Neurospora crassa OR74A: one gene and its partners. The protein of the gene in region 1 interacts with the protein of each later gene in a pairwise test. Links are inferred from orthologs where the notes say so. Each region holds a gene or a part of one and is shown in the gene's direction. Other genes may lie near its edges. The genes, in order: NCU04610, NCU00919 and NCU08956.

Region 1 (5,273 bases):
GGCCAAGCTCATTGATCTCAACCGTAAGGAATTTGTGAGCAAACTGTCAATGAGAGATGAAGAGATGAGGCGGCCGTTCCGAAGACACTTTGACCACGGGCGCGATCAGTGGGATTACAGGAAGGAGGATGAGGACAGGGAGGAGCTTCGCGAGAAGGACAAGAGCACGGGACGTGCGCAGAGAGTGGTCAACCATCCTCTATTCAAGCCCTTCAACAGCACCCAGGCCGAGGAGTATCTTGGCAGTCAGCCGTCTGGCGAGGTTGTAATCCGCCCTTCTAGTAAAGGTAACGATCACCTTGCCGTGACCTGGAAGGTAGCGGATGGTGTGTTCCAGCATGTCGACGTGCTGGAACTACAAAAGGAGAACGAGTTTGCTGTCGGGCGTGTCCTCCGCGTGGGCAAGTACACGTACCAGGATCTGGACGAGTTGATCGTGGACCACGTCAAGGCCATGGCCAAGAAGGTGGACGAGCTCATGCAGTGCGACAAGTTCCAGAAGGGCTCCCGTAATGAGACTGGTAAGTTCAGCCGCCTACCCTGATGCTATTCATGATGATGCAAGATGATGCTAACCAAGACCAACAGAGAAATGGCTCACCACGTACATGGACGCCAACCCCAACCGGTCGACATACGCCTTCTGCATCGACACCAAGCACCCCGGTTACTTTTTCCTCTGCTTCAAGGCCAGCCGAAACTCGCGAGTCAATGCCTGGCCTGTGCGCGTCATCCCTCATGCGTTTGAGCTTATGAAGAGCCAGTACCCAGATGTTAGGGCCCTCTGTAACGGCTTCAAGCTTCGGTACCAGAGTGAGATGTTGAAGCAGCAGTCAGGAGGCAGATAGTACTTGAACAGGTCCTGGCATTGCAGACGCAGTGGGGTTCCGATGGGTGTTTGCTTGATTGGCTATAGGGTTTCGGGTTTCGTTGTTTCTCTGTCTTTTGGGAATTGGACCGCAGTGGACGCTGGGGCTTTGAAGAGGCAGCGCATTTATTTATGGTGGGATAGACTTTAGGTATTCACATCAGATTGGGTCGTGGATCATGAGACCTTGCAAAAAGCCGATATAAGATAGTCAACGGTGGAATGGGGAGAGGCACTTGACTTGAAGAGCAGTAATGAAGAATTACAAAAAAGGTTCATATGGCATTTAATCGGACAATACGGTCAATGATCCAACTTGATGTGCCGGTGCTCGTTTACAGCTCATTGACAAACATTTGCGACACTTTGTTGGACAGATGAACAAGACTGTCATCGCCAAGAAAAAGGGGCACGACTGGACGGATTCGGTGTTAAGTCCCAACAAGACACCGAACCGTTTAATAAAGTTCTATTCTAGAAACCGGCAAATGCCATTCTAGTTGAAAGACCGACATCCTGGATGACAACACACATGCCGAGGTTGCCGACGACCTTCTGACCAATGAAGCCCGCGGAATCATGTAAGGTGTACTATAAGGCTGAGCGCTAGGCAACCTCCAGCTAGGCAGTAGCATGGCAGGTCGTCGGGGTGACCATGCCATTCATCGACGCCATGCGATGGCTCTCGGTGTGATACATACATATGTAAACGTGGGTTGGATCGGGGTATTATTGTTTCAACTGAATGAGGTGAGACATGGGGAAAGGAAGGGAGTAAGTAGTGAACACAGTACTGTAAGTAAGAAGGAAAGCGGGCGATCGGAGGTTAACCAATTGTCCGCTGACCGGGCCCGAATGTCGGGACGGATGGAAGCTCCGTTCGGTGGGGATTGAATTGGCGTTGGGTAGGTCCTTAGGTTTCCATTGTTTTGTTTCCCCCTGGAATGCCAGGCGGGCAGGCGGTCTGACGGGAACACAAGTGGAATTGACGGGAACGCCCCTGTCGGCTGGCCATTGGGTGCTACGGTGGGTTGATCGGTGCCTGTGACCGTTCTGCGCCGCCCTGTTCCATCGGATGTTGCCAGTTTAATTGCTGTAGTGGTCCCCGTTCACCACCGCCCGGCTTTTTCCCTCCTTTCGATTGCACTCACGTCGTCGACAACATCAACAAGACCCCTAGTCTTATACCATAACATCCGACCGTATTGGAGCTTTGACTACCTCTAATGGGTCGCCTCCATCACCAGCCCATCCATTGATCACGGAAGCTTTGTCTCCGACTCTGTGTTAACGCGGACAGAGTAGCTGCTGCTGCTGCTGTTGTTGAAGAGGCGGACAGGCCCCACGATCAGACCTCGGTTACCGCATTCCTTCATTCATTCATTCATTCATCCATCCATCCAGTCACCCTTACTGTCATATATAGCACGACACCCAAGCTCCCGATCATCGTCTTTCACCATGGCGGGCATCGAGCAGCTCGAGATTCACAGCAAGGTATACGCGCCCTGACCTGTTCAAGCCAAGCTTTCATGGACTTCGTCAACGGGAGTTGCTGACCGACGAACCGCTCTTTACCCCCTTAGTCTTACATCGTGCGATGGGTCAAGGTTGATGAAGGCCATACGATATCATGGAGCCTTCAACCACACAAGAAGTCCATGTACGGATACCTACGAATCCCATAACTCTCTCTTCATAGACATTGGCTGACGTTGCGACCAACACGACTACAGCAACTTCGCCATCGTCAAGCACCCAGGATCTGGCGGTACAGCTGCCGGCTCCCAGACCTTCGAGGCCACGGCCACCCCCGAACACCCAGCCACCGAGGCCGCTGTGTCGGATGCGAAATCAGGCCTGTTCAGGAGAGATGCCAGCACAGCGCAAGATCAGCTTGCCAAGAAGGGCTTTATCCCAATCCAGTGGCACGGCAAATGCGAGGCCGACAAGGTTACAGTGGGCACCTACGACGTTACCAGTGCTGGCATGTACGGTCTCGTCTTCGACAACACCTTCTCCAAGCAGACGTCCAAGACGGCCACGTTTGTTCTGCTTACCTACCCCACCGGCGCCCCGCCCCAGACTGCCCACCATCTGCCTACCGTACAAGCGGGGGCCGGCTCCAACGCCAGCAGAACGAGCTTGGGAGCAGGTACTACTCCCCGGCTGGGCGCCGCCAATTCCGACTCGGTCGATAGTCTACCCAGCAATGAGACGGCCGGGCGTGGCCGTGCTGCCTCGAATGCGAGAAGTGAGGGCGGATTTGTGCCGGGCGCAACCTACCACGTCGGTGTGCTTCTCAAGAGACGTCGCAAGAAGGGCCAAGGTTTTGCTAGGCGCTTCTTCTCCCTCGACTTTACGACTTGCACGCTATCCTACTACCACAACCGCAACTCGTCTGCCCTGCGAGGAGCGATCCCCCTGAGCTTGGCCGCCATTGCCGCTGACGAAAGACGGCGCGAAATTACCATTGATTCTGGTGCCGAGATCTGGCACTTGAAGGCGTCTGGCCCAAAGGACTTCAACGACTGGGCCAAGGCCTTGGAAAAGGCCAGTCGTATTGCTCGCGGTCTGGAGACCCTCCCCAACGGCGCATCCCTTGGTGTTGACAGGCCGGCTTCGCGGCCCTCCACCAGCGTTCCCAGCGCACAGCAGGAGGACGAAAGAGAATGGGCGCAGGTCGAATCCTTGGTCAGCAGGGTTGCAGGAACCAGAGATGCTCTCAGGCGCCTGGTCAAGGATATGGCTGCCGAGAAACAGGCGCCTGGTGCTAGCCAGGCCTCGTTGCTCTCACCCAACACGCCAGCGATTGCGGAGGACTCTGAGACCTACTTCACTCCCTCGACGGAGTCGCGCAGGCCGTTTTGGAAGCGCAAGACCAGCAATGCTTCGCCGGGCGCGCAACCAGGCGTTCAGGCAACGGCTGGAGCTGCTCTGGCGGTGCCATCGCCAGCCAGTGCGACGGCCGTTGCGGAGGAGCGGAACCCATACGATAACTGCGCGGCTCTTCTGAATGATTTGGATTCTGTGGTGGTTGAGTTTTCGCAGCTGCTGTCTAAGAATAAGCGCCGAAGAATCCCTTCGCAAATGATGCCGCCTAACATGATGCCTGCGGCTTCCAGAAAGAGTTACGAGTCTACAGCGTCTACCATTGATGAGTTCTTTGATGCCGAGGCTGGTGAGCAGGGCGGCGCGGGACAGAACCAGGTTATGATCATTCGTCAGAGCGAAGAGGACATGGCCGGCTCAGATGCGGAGGAGGTCGATATCCACGACTCCTCATCCGTCTCTTCTGTCGAGGAAGAGGAGGAGTTTGAAGGCGTCGGTACAGAAAACCATGACAGTCTGTTCCCCGTTAAGCCCAAGTCTCTTGCGCCACTGCCTATCACGGACACGGTCACCAGACGCACGACGATTCCGGCCGCCAAAGTGCCTCCTCCCAGTCTCATCGCGTTCGTCCGCAAAAACGTGGGTAAAGATCTTAGTACGATCAGTATGCCCGTTTCTGCGAACGAGCCTTTGTCACTGTGCCAGCGTATGGCGGAGCAGCTTGAATACGGCCAGCTTCTCACGGAGGCTGCCAAGAAGACTGACGCGAACGAGCGTCTTCTGTATGTTACGGCCTTTGCTGTCTCCCAGTTCAGCAACGGTCGCGCCAAGGAGCGTGCTACGCGCAAGCCCTTCAACCCTCTGTTGGGTGAGACGTTCGAACTGGTGCGGTCCGAGAACGAAGTGCCTGGCGGGTTTAGAGTGCTGGTCGAGAAAATCTGCCATCGCCCTGTCCGCCTCGCCGTACAAGCCGACAGTGCTCTGTGGTCTTTCTCCCAGTCGCCGGCTCCTTCGCAGAAGTTCTGGGGTAAGAGTGCCGAAATCACTACCGAGGGCCGTGTGCGGGTCAGCCTGCATCTCCCCGACGGCACCGACGAGCTCTACAGCTGGCACATAGCCACCGTCTTCCTCCGCAACGTTGTCTACGGCGAGAAGTACGTCGAGCCCGTCGGCAACATGAACGTTAACAACGAGACTTCGGGCGCCAAGGCTGTCGTCGAGTTTCGATCGGCTAAGGGCATGTTCGGTGGCCGAGGCGAAGAGGTCCACGTCGAGACGTTTGGTCCCGACGGGTCCAACACGGGCCAGGCGCTCACGGGCAATTGGACGAGCAGTCTCAAGACTGCCCCTGGAGGCAAGGAGATCTGGAAGGCGGGCAGCCTCGTTCCCAACGCGGCGAATACGTATGGCTTTACGACCTTTGCCGCGTCGCTGAATGAAATCACACCCCTGGAGAAGGACAAGTTGCCGCCTACGGATAGCAGGTTGCGTCCCGATCAGCGGTTCCACGAGCAAGGAGATCTGGACTCTGCTGAGGAGTGGAAGGTCAAGTTGGAGGAGGCGCAGAGAGTGC
Region 2 (5,319 bases), on another chromosome or scaffold:
CCCTGCATTATACGATGCCAATGGCGATGCAGTAATGACTGAAAAGACCATCGAGCACATTATCTCCGTCATTCAGGAGAGAGGTACCGATGCTTGGTGGTCTGATGACCCTCATGACCCTGTCTGGATTCCCGCATCTCTTCGGGGCAAGGGCCCCTTCACCCGTGGTAGAGATACCATGGACGTCTGGTTTGACAGTGGTAGCAGCTGGACCCAGACGGATAGGCAAGCGGATGTCTATCTCGAAGGCTCTGATCAACATCGCGGTTGGTTTCAGTCGAGTTTGCTCACTCGAGTAGCAGCTATGGCGGTTCAAAGCCCGACAGCTAATGGTACGACCAATGCTGTTGGCCTGTCACCATTCAAGACACTCATCACTCATGGCTTCACGCTAGATAAAGCCGGCAAGAAGATGTCCAAGTCACTAGGCAACATCATTTCGGCGGACCAGGTCATGGATGGTTCTTTGCTTCCTCCGCTGAAGGTCAGGAACAAGGACAGGGATCCGAATGCGCCTCCCCCGAAGGATGCCCTTGGCCCCGACGCCTTGCGCTTGTGGGTAGCGAGCAGTGATTACACCAGTGACATTGTCCTCGGCGAGCCTGTGCTGAAGACTATCCATCAGTCCCTAACCAAGTATCGCACCATCATCAAGATGCTGACGGGCTCGATGGAACAGTCAGCCAGAGCAGCTCCACTGACTGCCTTGGACCACATTGCTCTTGTCCAGCTGAAGGATGCTATGGTGGAAATTGAGAGACACTATCAAAACTACGAGTTCAACAAGGCTTTCAGCAGTCTCAACAGATGGATCGCCAACGATCTGTCTGCCTTTTACCTCGAAGCCCTGAAGGACAGGCTGTACTGCGCCGATGGCGGTGGTGTCCTAGAGCCTATCTTTATGGGCTTCCTCAGAATGCTGGCCCCTATCACACCTGTCCTGGTCGAGGAGGCTTGGGAGCATCGACCTGCTTGGATGAAGGAAGACCCATCCATTCTTCATCCTCTTCATCAGCTCTATAACTCGCCCTTGATTGATTCCAGCCGTCTGAGCTACGATGAAGGCGTGCTTCGTAAGGACATCCCGGTCCTAATGGAAACTCACGCCGCCATCAAAGCCGCGTCCGAGCTGGCACGCAGGGGCAAGGTTCTTGGCTCGTCCCTTGGTTGCTCTGTTGTTATCAAGGCTCCCAAGGACAGCAAGGCACTTTCCGTCCTGCAAAAGTACAAGGACGAGCTAGATACCATGTTTGTTGTATCCTCTGTAGACCTCGGCGGTGCCATAGAGGGGGAGCCTGCCTGGAAGTACGTCCAAGACTTCGAGATGGGTGGTCATGGTTGCCAGGCGTGGGTTCTGCCTCCCAAAGACCATAAATGCCCCAGGTGCTGGCGATTCGTTGCTCCTGCTGAGGACTCCTTGTGCGTCCGGTGCGAGGATGTTGTTGGCGAGGGTGTACAATGAAAGAAACTAAAAGGTTCGACCAAGGACAGATAAGATAGACTAGAGTAGACGAGCCCGTACACAAAATGGATACCCCTCCCCCCTTCATGACATATCCTGTTCTTCACATCTCCAACGCGGGCAATCCTGTTCACATTGTTCAGCCTAGGGGAGCATTCCCTTTGCATCCCAAGCTGCGTTGTAAACGCACAGTGAAAAGGAACCTCGACGGCCCAAAGTTGGGGTACAGCGGTGCGGAGCCCCACCCAGGCCGCTAAGATAAGCACTGGCGCCCGCTGCGGGGCGGAAAATTTTCATGGATCAATTCTGGCGATTGGAAGGAAACTCCAAGAATTCTTTTGTTTTGTAAAAGTCCAGCAGTTCATTCTGTCTCCCATCTCCAGATTTACCTGATTTCACCCATCACAAAGCTTTGTACAGCTCGTATTCTCTGTCAATTATCTAACTCAGCCCCGCGACATCACATCCTACGAAGGCAAATCTTCCAGCATGGATATCTTCAAAGTCCTCTCGCGAGGCATCAAAGCCCAGCCCAAGAAAAACCAGCCAGGCGCACCGCAGCTCCTTCCCTCCGCCGGAGCAAAAGTCAATCCCCAATTCTTCCACGACAATGTCGGCGGCGCCAACGCCAAAAGAGGCAAGAAGAGAAAGAGGAAGGGGGCTCAGGCCAACAATGCGACCGAGAGCGGAGACGAAGACGACGATGCCAGCGACGTCGACTACTTTGCGCCCAAGCCCACCCCCGAGGAGCTTGCCGCCAAGAAGGATGCCGAGTTGAAGGCGGACGAGCCCAAGAAGCAAAAGCCCAAGCTTTTGGAAGAAAACGAATGCCGACAGATACTCAAATCCCATCGGTTAAAGTTCACAGTCCTAGCCGGTCGCGTGCCACAAGACGAAGCGGCTACGGAGGAGAAGCCGCCCAAGAAGCAGAAGAAGCAGAAGGAGGACAGGAAGAAGCAGGAAGAGGAGGAAAAGAAGAAAAAGAAGAAAGACGAAGACAAAAAGCAAATCTACCCGCAGCCGCTCAACTCGTTTGGCGAGCTCAAGTACACTTACGGCATTCACCCCGTGTTGGCGGACAACATCACGCGGCAGGGATTCCGGGTGCCGACTGAGGTGCAGATGGGCAGCTTGCCACTGCAGCTGCGGCCAGAGATGGCGTTGGAGAAGGCCACAGATGTGGAAGACGTCAAGGTTGAAAAGGGAATCGACTTCCTCGGTGTTGCGCCGACAGGCAGTGGCAAGACTATCAGCTTCTTGATTCCCGCTATCGATGCCATCATCAAAAGGAGGGCCGAGGATTACACCCCTGAAACAGACGAGCATGTTCTGCAGGCCATCGTGGTTGCGCCTACGAGAGAGCTGGCAAGTCAAATTGTCAATGAAGGAAGGAAGTTGGCTATCGGAACCGGCGTGCGCGTGGTTCTCATGAAGAGGACCCTGCGGTTGGTGGCAGAATCAAATGAGCAGGAGGAGACGGAGCAGGAAGCCAAGGAAGAGGTTCAAGACAGTGATAGCGACAGCGAAGCAGAGAGCGAGCCCGAGGAGGTTATGAAAATCGATGAAGAAGAAGAGGAAGAAGAGGAAAGCGATTCTGACGCCGAGAAGAAAACGGAGAGCAGGGCCAAAGGTGATCAGAAGTTCAAGAAGGAGAGGCCGATCACCAGGGTAGACATTCTTGTGACAACCCCCAAGATTCTCCTCAACTTCCTCTGCGGAGGCGAAAAGGAGAAGGGCAAGCCCAGGATCATCAAGAAGACGCTCCCCACCGTGCAATCCCTCATCCTTGACGAGGCCGATGTTCTCCTTGATCCCATCTTCCGCAAGCAAACCATGGGTATCTGGCGTGCCTGCACCCACCCCAACCTCGGCATGACGTGCTGGTCGGCCACCATGGCCTCCAACATCGAAGCTCTCCTCACCAAACACATCGACAAGCGCGCCAAGCGCACCCCCGAACAGACTCCCAAGCCCCTGATCCGCCTCGTCGTTGGTCTCAAAGACACCGCCGTGCCCAACATCACGCACAAGCTCATCTACACGGCCACAGAGCCCGGCAAGCTGCTCGCCCTGCGCCAGCTTCTCCACCCCGTGTCCTCGGCCGACTCGGGCCCGCCGCTGCGCCCGCCCTTCCTCGTCTTCACCCAGACTATCGAGCGTGCCCAGGCGCTCCACGACGAGCTCAAGTACGACATCCCGCTCGAGGCGGGCGGCTCGGCCCGCGTGGCGGTCCTGCACTCGTCGCTCCCTGACTCGGTCCGGTCCAAGATCATGGCCCGCTTCCGCAGCGGCGAGGTGTGGGTGCTGATCACCACGGACGTGCTCGCGCGCGGCGTCGACTTTGCTGGCGTCAACGGCGTCGTCAATTACGACGTGCCCGTGTCCGCCGCGGCGTACGTGCACCGTGCCGGACGCACGGGTCGCGCCGGTCGCGAGGGCGGTGTGGCCGTCACCTTTTACACCAAGGACGATATCCCCTTTGTCAAGTCGGTCGCCAACGTGATCGCCATGAGCGAGAAGCAGGCGGGCAAGGACATCGACGAGAAAGATACCGTCAAGGCCGCCCAGGGTAGCGTGCAAAAGTGGCTGCTGGATGCGCTGCCCAAGGTGGCCAAGGAGGATAAGAGGAAGTTGAAGGTCAGGGGGGTGGAGAGCAGGCGGACAGGCGGAAAGGCGACGATCACGACTAAGAGCAGTTGGGAGAGGCGGAGGGAGAATAACAGGCGGGAGGCTATTGAGGCTAGCAAGAGGAGAAAGAGGGAGGCGCAGAAGGCGCAGAAGGAGGGCGGTGCTGCCCCTGAGAAGGCGGAAGAGGAGTGGACCGGCTTGGATTAAAAAGCTGGGCGTAGCCGTTGGGGCGTTCATGCAGATAATATTGTCATTGTGTTGACGGGCGGATTATTAAAAGGATAGATACCCCTACCGTGTATATGCTGGTACTTAGACAAAAGAATGATTTTCTGTGAGTTTACATTTTGTTCAACTTGTCCTAGGAATGAGTGTCGCGTATCTTGATTCCGAGTGATACCAGCATGAGGGGAAAACAAACACAGACAGCGACGGAGTAGAAGAAAACCCTGACCCTTCAAAATATCATAACATCATATCACCGCAGTGCCCATTCTCTCTCTCTCCAACTCGCATCTCTCAGGTCAAACTTTCCCCAGAGCCACTCACAAGCCCTGCGGCCTGAACTTCCACCTACTCGGCTCAAAGACAGCCTCGAATTCGACAGCCGAATACGTTCCGATAGCACAACTCAAATCATGAAACCCCTCCAAGCCCGTGACGGGCAAGTCCTGCTCCGCATCACCTTCCTCATGCAAATCCCACTGCTCCGTGATCCTCCCTTCCCTCGTGAAAAAGACATTCACATCCAGCCTTCCGCCGGTGTTAGTAAACGTCATGCCGATACCGTACGTCTCCCCCCTTCTGAACGGTCTCGTAAAATCCTTGCCTCCCCACCGATCGTTGACGTACTTGTGCCCATCATCGCCATGCACGGCCAGCGACCCGCGGTGCCAGCCTGGCATGCGGAAGGCCGGGTAGGGAAGGGCTGTGAAGCCTAGCGCTAGGGTGATTTCGTCGTCGTTACCTCCTCCTCCTCCTCCTCCTCCTCCTCCTCCACCGCGGCCGCCCAGAAAGGGGTTATTATTAGATGATGCTGCCGCCGCCGAACGAGGAGGAGGGATTGATACCTCGTAGTAAATAGACTTTGTCGTCTTCCTCTGGGCGGCGGCAACCGAAGGGATCAAGGGCGAGTCATACTTGACACAATACAACGGCGGGTAACTGATAATGCATGCATCACCCGCCACCTTCTCCGTCTTTCCCCTCCATACGCCTTGGGTGACCCA
Region 3 (5,310 bases), about 4.3 Mb from region 1:
CTATACATATTTGTTAGCATGCTTGGAATGCGGCTGGGGACATTCTGACATCGTACCTCATTGCGCTTCTGCTCCTCCTTGTCAACAAGTGCCTGCCTCTCCCGCTTCTCCGCGAGCTTTTGGCGGAGCTCCTCCAGCCTTTGCTTCTTCTCTTCCTCCGTTAGAGGAGCAATTTCTTCGGTAGATTCGGAGAAGTCGGTGTGCTGACTATGGTAGAGTTAGCTTGGTGCCACAAACACGGATACATTGGTAAAGAGACTGACGTCTTGGAAGCATGGAAGGCGGCAAGATCTCCGTTCTTGAACCTCTTGCCGCAATCGTTGCAAACAAGGGACTTGGCGCCCTCGGGAATGGGGGAGCCATCATCCTCTTCGTCGTCGTCGGCCTTGGCAGTGGCGGCAGAGGCAGCGCTGGCCTGTAGCTCCTCCAAGGACTTGTCCTGGTTCTCCTCAAGCCAGGTGAGGGCTCCTTGCACTGCTAGTTGTCAATATCACATTCGCGTCACAAATGTAAGCGTTCGGGAGGACTGACAGCCACCGGACTTCTTGACGGCGAGCTCGGCGCGGGCGCGCTCGAAACCCATGTCGATCAGAACCTCGAGATCTGTTTGGCCCATTTTGATGATTCTTGATTTGGTTGGTTGATGAGAAAGATATGGTCGCTACTATAGATTAGGTGTTTAAATGGAGTGGACGGGACTGGTCTTGATTGTTATAGTAGGTTGTTGCTGGGGATGAAATAGTGGCAACTCGGAATTGGTGCAGTCAAGTCCACTACCATAAGGAGGGGTTCAATCAAAAGATGCGAAGCTGTCAACAGTTCGGATAGAAGCAGACGGACGGGTACGTAGTAGCGATTCCCTGCACTAAAACGCTGCCAGGTTTCAACAGACGAACACTTTGGCCTTCTTTTGGAACCCAACTTTGGAATATCGTCTTACGTTTCCAACAGAAATTCAGACTGCCCACGTGAATGTTGTTGTTGTTATTGTTATTGTCGTCGCCGTCGTCATCATCGATAAAGTGAACGCTTCGCGATATGGCCAGGCTGCCCGGGGCACGTCATTCACAAACAACACAACACCCTTGTCCGTTGGGTGCCCTGGGTTGCTTTGACAGTGGTGCCAGCGTTGCCGGCAGCTGGAAATGGCCAGTGACAAACTGACAATTGCCCAATTTGTAGCCAAATGACAGTCGGCATCACCTGTTTCTCCGACTGTGACCCTTAATTTCAGTGGAGATACGTGGACCCCACGCGACAACCTACCATACGGGCCTCGTCTCCTCGTCTACCTAGAGGTATCCAACGGCAGGCTCGCCCGGCCAGGCAGCGGGTGGACATAGCATTCGGGTCGGGAAAGAGCTGGGAGCTTTTGAGATTCTCACTGAAAGGTTCATTCCTCTGGGGTTGGGGTCCAGTCAGGTATGAGATCAGCACGGACCCAGATACCTAGGTACCTCTGAGGTGCTCTTGGCTCGGTTGGGTCTTGGCTTGAATCCGGGCATTTTTGCAGTCTCGTCGCCTGGCTGGCGCCCTCCTGGAAACACCTACCTAGGCTAGGTAGGTAGGTAGGTACACTAAGTACTGCTGGCTTAGTTGTGTCCAGGTTGGTCTGTCCAGCGCGCGTCGGACCGCCGTCACTGTTGAATGTCGTAACACATCATCTCCCTCTCTCTCGTCTTCGTAATATTATCACTCCAGGTTCCAGCTTCTTCTTCTTCTTGTATTTTACCACACCTCACAACATCTATCCATTTTTCACTTCGGGCTGCTACCTAACATTTTCTTGTGACGACGACTACTGAACTCTCCGCGGTCTCGCTGTCTGGCCCGATAAATCAGATTCACATTGCCCTTGTCTGGCATATTTCGCGAACCTGTCTAATACGTCAAACTCCATCCCCCATCCCTTTATTTCCCCCCCACCGGGTATACTAGGGACGGCCAATAATCCCCCGGCAACATTTCCCGTCATCCCATCGCGAAATCCAAGTCGCTCTAGATTTTCCCAAAACCACCAAACCACGTAGAGCCCAACCGATCGCCAACATGTCCGTCGAAATCGATCCCCTCGAGCTGGGTTTCCGCAGTACGTCGTCCCTTCGCAAACAGCACCATCGGCCCAGATTCCCTCTAGGATCTCCCATCGTCTGACCAGAAATTAGGGCCCTTTACTGTGGAAGTTTCGCAGATCCTCAGGATCAGGAATCCCAATACCTCTCCGGTTGCCTTCAAGGTATGTGTGGACATCAACACGCGTTATTGTCGTGGTTGAGTGTCACTCGACATATGTGTTAACATGCTCTCGTACAGGTCAAAACCACCGCTCCCAAGCAGTACGTCTACGTCCCTTCCTCGGCAATGCGCCGCAGCGCAAACGAATCACCGGTCCAAGGATATACAGACACTTACCAACTCCCTCTTCAGATACTGCGTCCGCCCCAACTCGGGTCGCATTGAGCCCGGTCACGATGTCGAAGTTTCCGGTCAGTCCTCGAATCGCCGACACCATGTCCAAACTTACGGTCTCGTGACTAACTTCCCTTTCAGTCCTCCTCCAGGCCATGAAGCAGGAGCCCCCCTCGGACGCCCGATGCCGCGACAAGTTCCTCGTCCAGTCTGTTGCCATCACCGGTGACAAGGAGTTCACCAACGTTGCCCAGATTGTGCGTATAACTCAAACAGAGGAGGACGAAAATGAAAATGAGTGCTGACAAATACATCATACAGTGGGATGGTGTCGACAAGTCCCAGGTTCAGGAGAAGAAGATCCGCGTTCTCTGGCTGCCACCCTTTGGAGAGGAGACCACCTCCCCCGTGGCTGCCACCCCTATCCGTCCCTCGACGTCGAGCCGGGTACGTGTACCTTTCGCCTACATACCCCTGGCAGCGTACCATCAAGGAAATAAAATTAACTTTCACATGCGCAGGCCGAGGAGACCCCTGCTCCTTTCACATCGCCCAGCGAGACCCGATCTTCGACGGTCGACACCCGCGATATTAAACAAGAGTCCGACGTCGGCGAGAACTTCCAGTCGACTGTTGCGGCCGTCGCATCGACAGCACAGCATACCGCTTCCGAGACGTACGAGCAGTTGAAGGAACAGTTGGCCAAGGCTCAGGCGACCATCGCATCTCTCCAGAACGACGCCGCCAGCGGTCTGAGACAGAGGAAGGCGGCTGTGGCTGACGCGGTGGGCGAGCAGGCGTCGAACGTACAGGCGACCGCTCAGGACCTCGCGCAATCAGCGAGGCAAGGCACCGAGGGCGTGCCAGTCCAGATTGCGGCGGTCCTCTGCTTGGTCAGCTTCCTGCTGGCCTATATCTTCTTCTAGTGCTGCAACGAAACACCCGGTTCCATTTTTTTCTTGTCATCGCGAAGGCTGCTGCTCCTCCAGTACGCCCAGGGTTTCACACACAATACAACAACGTAATCCTTTCCTGTCTTTTTCTTTTTTCGTTTCTCGGTTTTCATATATCGTTTCACTCACTACTAAAAACTTTGTCTTTATTCCCTTTGTCGTTGGGGGGTGGTGGATAGAGTGGCAGGCCCAGGGGTGTATTCTAGGGATCTGAAGTAGGCAGCGCAGGAAGAGGAAGAAGACAAGAGAAACAAACACGCGTGGTTCGGGGTTCGGTTTTGTCTTGCTCGTAGGGGAGGAGGTGAGGTGAGGTGAGGTGAGGTGGACGAGCTGATGCGGATCTCTTTGTTGTGTGTTCATTACAACCGGTTCTGCAAATTGCTCCGGGTACAACGAGCGGGCTATGCTATGCTATGCTATGTTAGGCTAGGCTAGGCTATGCTATGCTATGCTAGGAGGCCAGTAGGACTGTAGGACTGTAGGATGGAAATACCAATACCTGATAATATGCAAGGATATCCACGTTCGTAGGCCAGTGAATGAGTGCAGACATGTTTATCGGTATCCGGAATTCTCTGAATACAGTCCTCATCTATCCAGATCCTTTCATCCACTTGTTATTATTTCATTCAGCTATGACAGAGGTTCAGAAAGCTATCTAGTCAAATCTTCGGTTTATTCTCTAATCTGAGTGTATTTGCCTCTACATGGTCAGCTAGTCTATTGCCTCTTTTCTTCACAATCACTTCAGCCAGTTTCCGCTTATAGTTACACAAACCTATTGTCAGTCATCATCAATGTATGGTTGATACCTAACGACCTCCAGACAAAGAGCCCGACACCAGCGCCTTACAGCGCCACCCAATGATTAGATTACGAGGGGAGACGGGAAGTCAGTCAATCAGTCAGGCACATTTCGTCATCACCTAGTAGAGAATAGGTACTGCAGTAAAGAAGATGTCGTAGTTGGGACAATGGGTTTGTATCGAGGAATCTACACTAGTAGTGGCGGGATCAGCCGTCAGGGACCGACCGCACACAGTATCAGCCTTGTAGCTTGGAGTTAAGGTTTCATCTCTTTTCAGCTCTGTTCCCTTGATGAAGCAGATACTTTTGATGATGAGTGCCACTTTGAGATAGCTGGTATATTTGTAGTTTCTGTGTACGATATGTAAATGACATGGAAAGAAGAAGGGAAAAAGGAAAGGGCGACTTAACTGATGGGTTGGTAGCTAGTAGGTATTTTGGGCGGTTCTTCGAGGTAGGTACCTTGATGAGCAAACGAGGCTTGTGGTTAGCTAAAAACAACTGTTCTCATCAAGGTTGTTTCATGACATCGGGAGGGGCAACCGTATTGTGAATAAAGAGAGAGGACCAATTGTCAGAAATTCTAGAGCTTATAACTTCATTCGCGGATATTTCTTCCACGATCAGGTAATAGGAAACGTTGACTTTGCACATCATTCAGGTCCTTCTCTCTCTTTGTGCTTGTGCTGCGGTCGACAAAGACAACAGGTAGTGTATAGACTGAGAATGTCAACGTACAACTGAGCTTTTCCCCATTTTTTGCATTGCTGGGTGAGGTTCATGCCAGCGGCTTCGGGGATTTTAAAGGCCGTTCGTTTGAACCCGTTCAGTCTTTCGGAGCTTTTCAACTCTGGAAGTTTCGCCAAGTCCCCTCCGTTTCGTCACTTTTGGGCTTTCGTTTCCAGTGATCTGCCAAGGAAACATGCCGCTCAAGCCGCTGCTCGCTCGCTTGCTCGCTCGTAGCTCGGCTCGTGCTCGTGGGCGCTCACGCGGCGGGAATGTCGGCATGTCCATGTGGTTTGGCAAGTTTCACAAAAACATTGGCATGTCAGTGGTTGCACGTAGTTGAGGTCGGGCTGAGTACCTTGTAGTAGTGTACACTATGTAGAAGCCCCAGAGAGGCTGAGTTGGCTCAACAATG

Evidence for each region.
Region 2: the proteins of NCU04610 (region 1) and NCU00919 interact in binary tests that used the Saccharomyces cerevisiae proteins (3 or more experiments, as listed by UniProt). The link is inferred for Neurospora crassa OR74A from reciprocal best matches to the Saccharomyces cerevisiae genes OSH3 and ROK1.
Region 3: the proteins of NCU04610 (region 1) and NCU08956 interact in a protein complementation assay, tested with the Saccharomyces cerevisiae proteins (2 studies listed by BioGRID). The link is inferred for Neurospora crassa OR74A from reciprocal best matches to the Saccharomyces cerevisiae genes OSH3 and SCS2.

What each region holds. Positions count from the first base shown.
Region 1 is NC_026505.1:1,510,230-1,515,502, forward strand, and holds the start of NCU04610 (oxysterol binding protein), read left to right. Parts: upstream 1-1,988; 5' UTR 1,989-2,329; coding exon 2,330-2,365; intron 2,366-2,454; coding exon 2,455-2,531; intron 2,532-2,604; coding exon 2,605-5,273. Other genes in the region: NCU04611 (transcription elongation factor spt-6), read left to right, coding at 1-521, 589-848. UniProt on the Saccharomyces cerevisiae protein: Lipid transport protein (LTP) involved in non-vesicular transfer of lipids between membranes.
Region 2 is NC_026501.1:6,733,900-6,739,218, forward strand, and holds NCU00919 (ATP-dependent RNA helicase rok-1), read left to right. Parts: upstream 1-1,742; 5' UTR 1,743-1,951; coding exon 1,952-4,297; 3' UTR 4,298-4,574; downstream 4,575-5,319. Other genes in the region: NCU00920 (isoleucyl-tRNA synthetase), read left to right, coding at 1-1,462; NCU00918 (hypothetical protein), read right to left, coding at 4,636-5,319. UniProt on the Saccharomyces cerevisiae protein: ATP-dependent RNA helicase involved in 40S ribosomal subunit biogenesis. Required for the processing and cleavage of 35S pre-rRNA at sites A0, A1, and A2, leading to mature 18S rRNA.
Region 3 is NC_026505.1:5,807,997-5,813,306, forward strand, and holds NCU08956 (MSP domain-containing protein), read left to right. Parts: upstream 1-1,583; 5' UTR 1,584-2,049; coding exon 2,050-2,089; intron 2,090-2,165; coding exon 2,166-2,236; intron 2,237-2,313; coding exon 2,314-2,336; intron 2,337-2,427; coding exon 2,428-2,486; intron 2,487-2,550; coding exon 2,551-2,666; intron 2,667-2,730; coding exon 2,731-2,856; intron 2,857-2,930; coding exon 2,931-3,335; 3' UTR 3,336-3,886; downstream 3,887-5,310. Other genes in the region: NCU08955 (UBX domain-containing protein, variant), read right to left, coding at 57-207, 264-474, 532-616. UniProt on the Saccharomyces cerevisiae protein: Acts as an endoplasmic reticulum (ER) membrane anchor for cytoplasmic proteins via binding to the FFAT motif of targeted proteins. Regulates phospholipid biosynthesis by modulating the subcellular localization of the transcriptional repressor OPI1.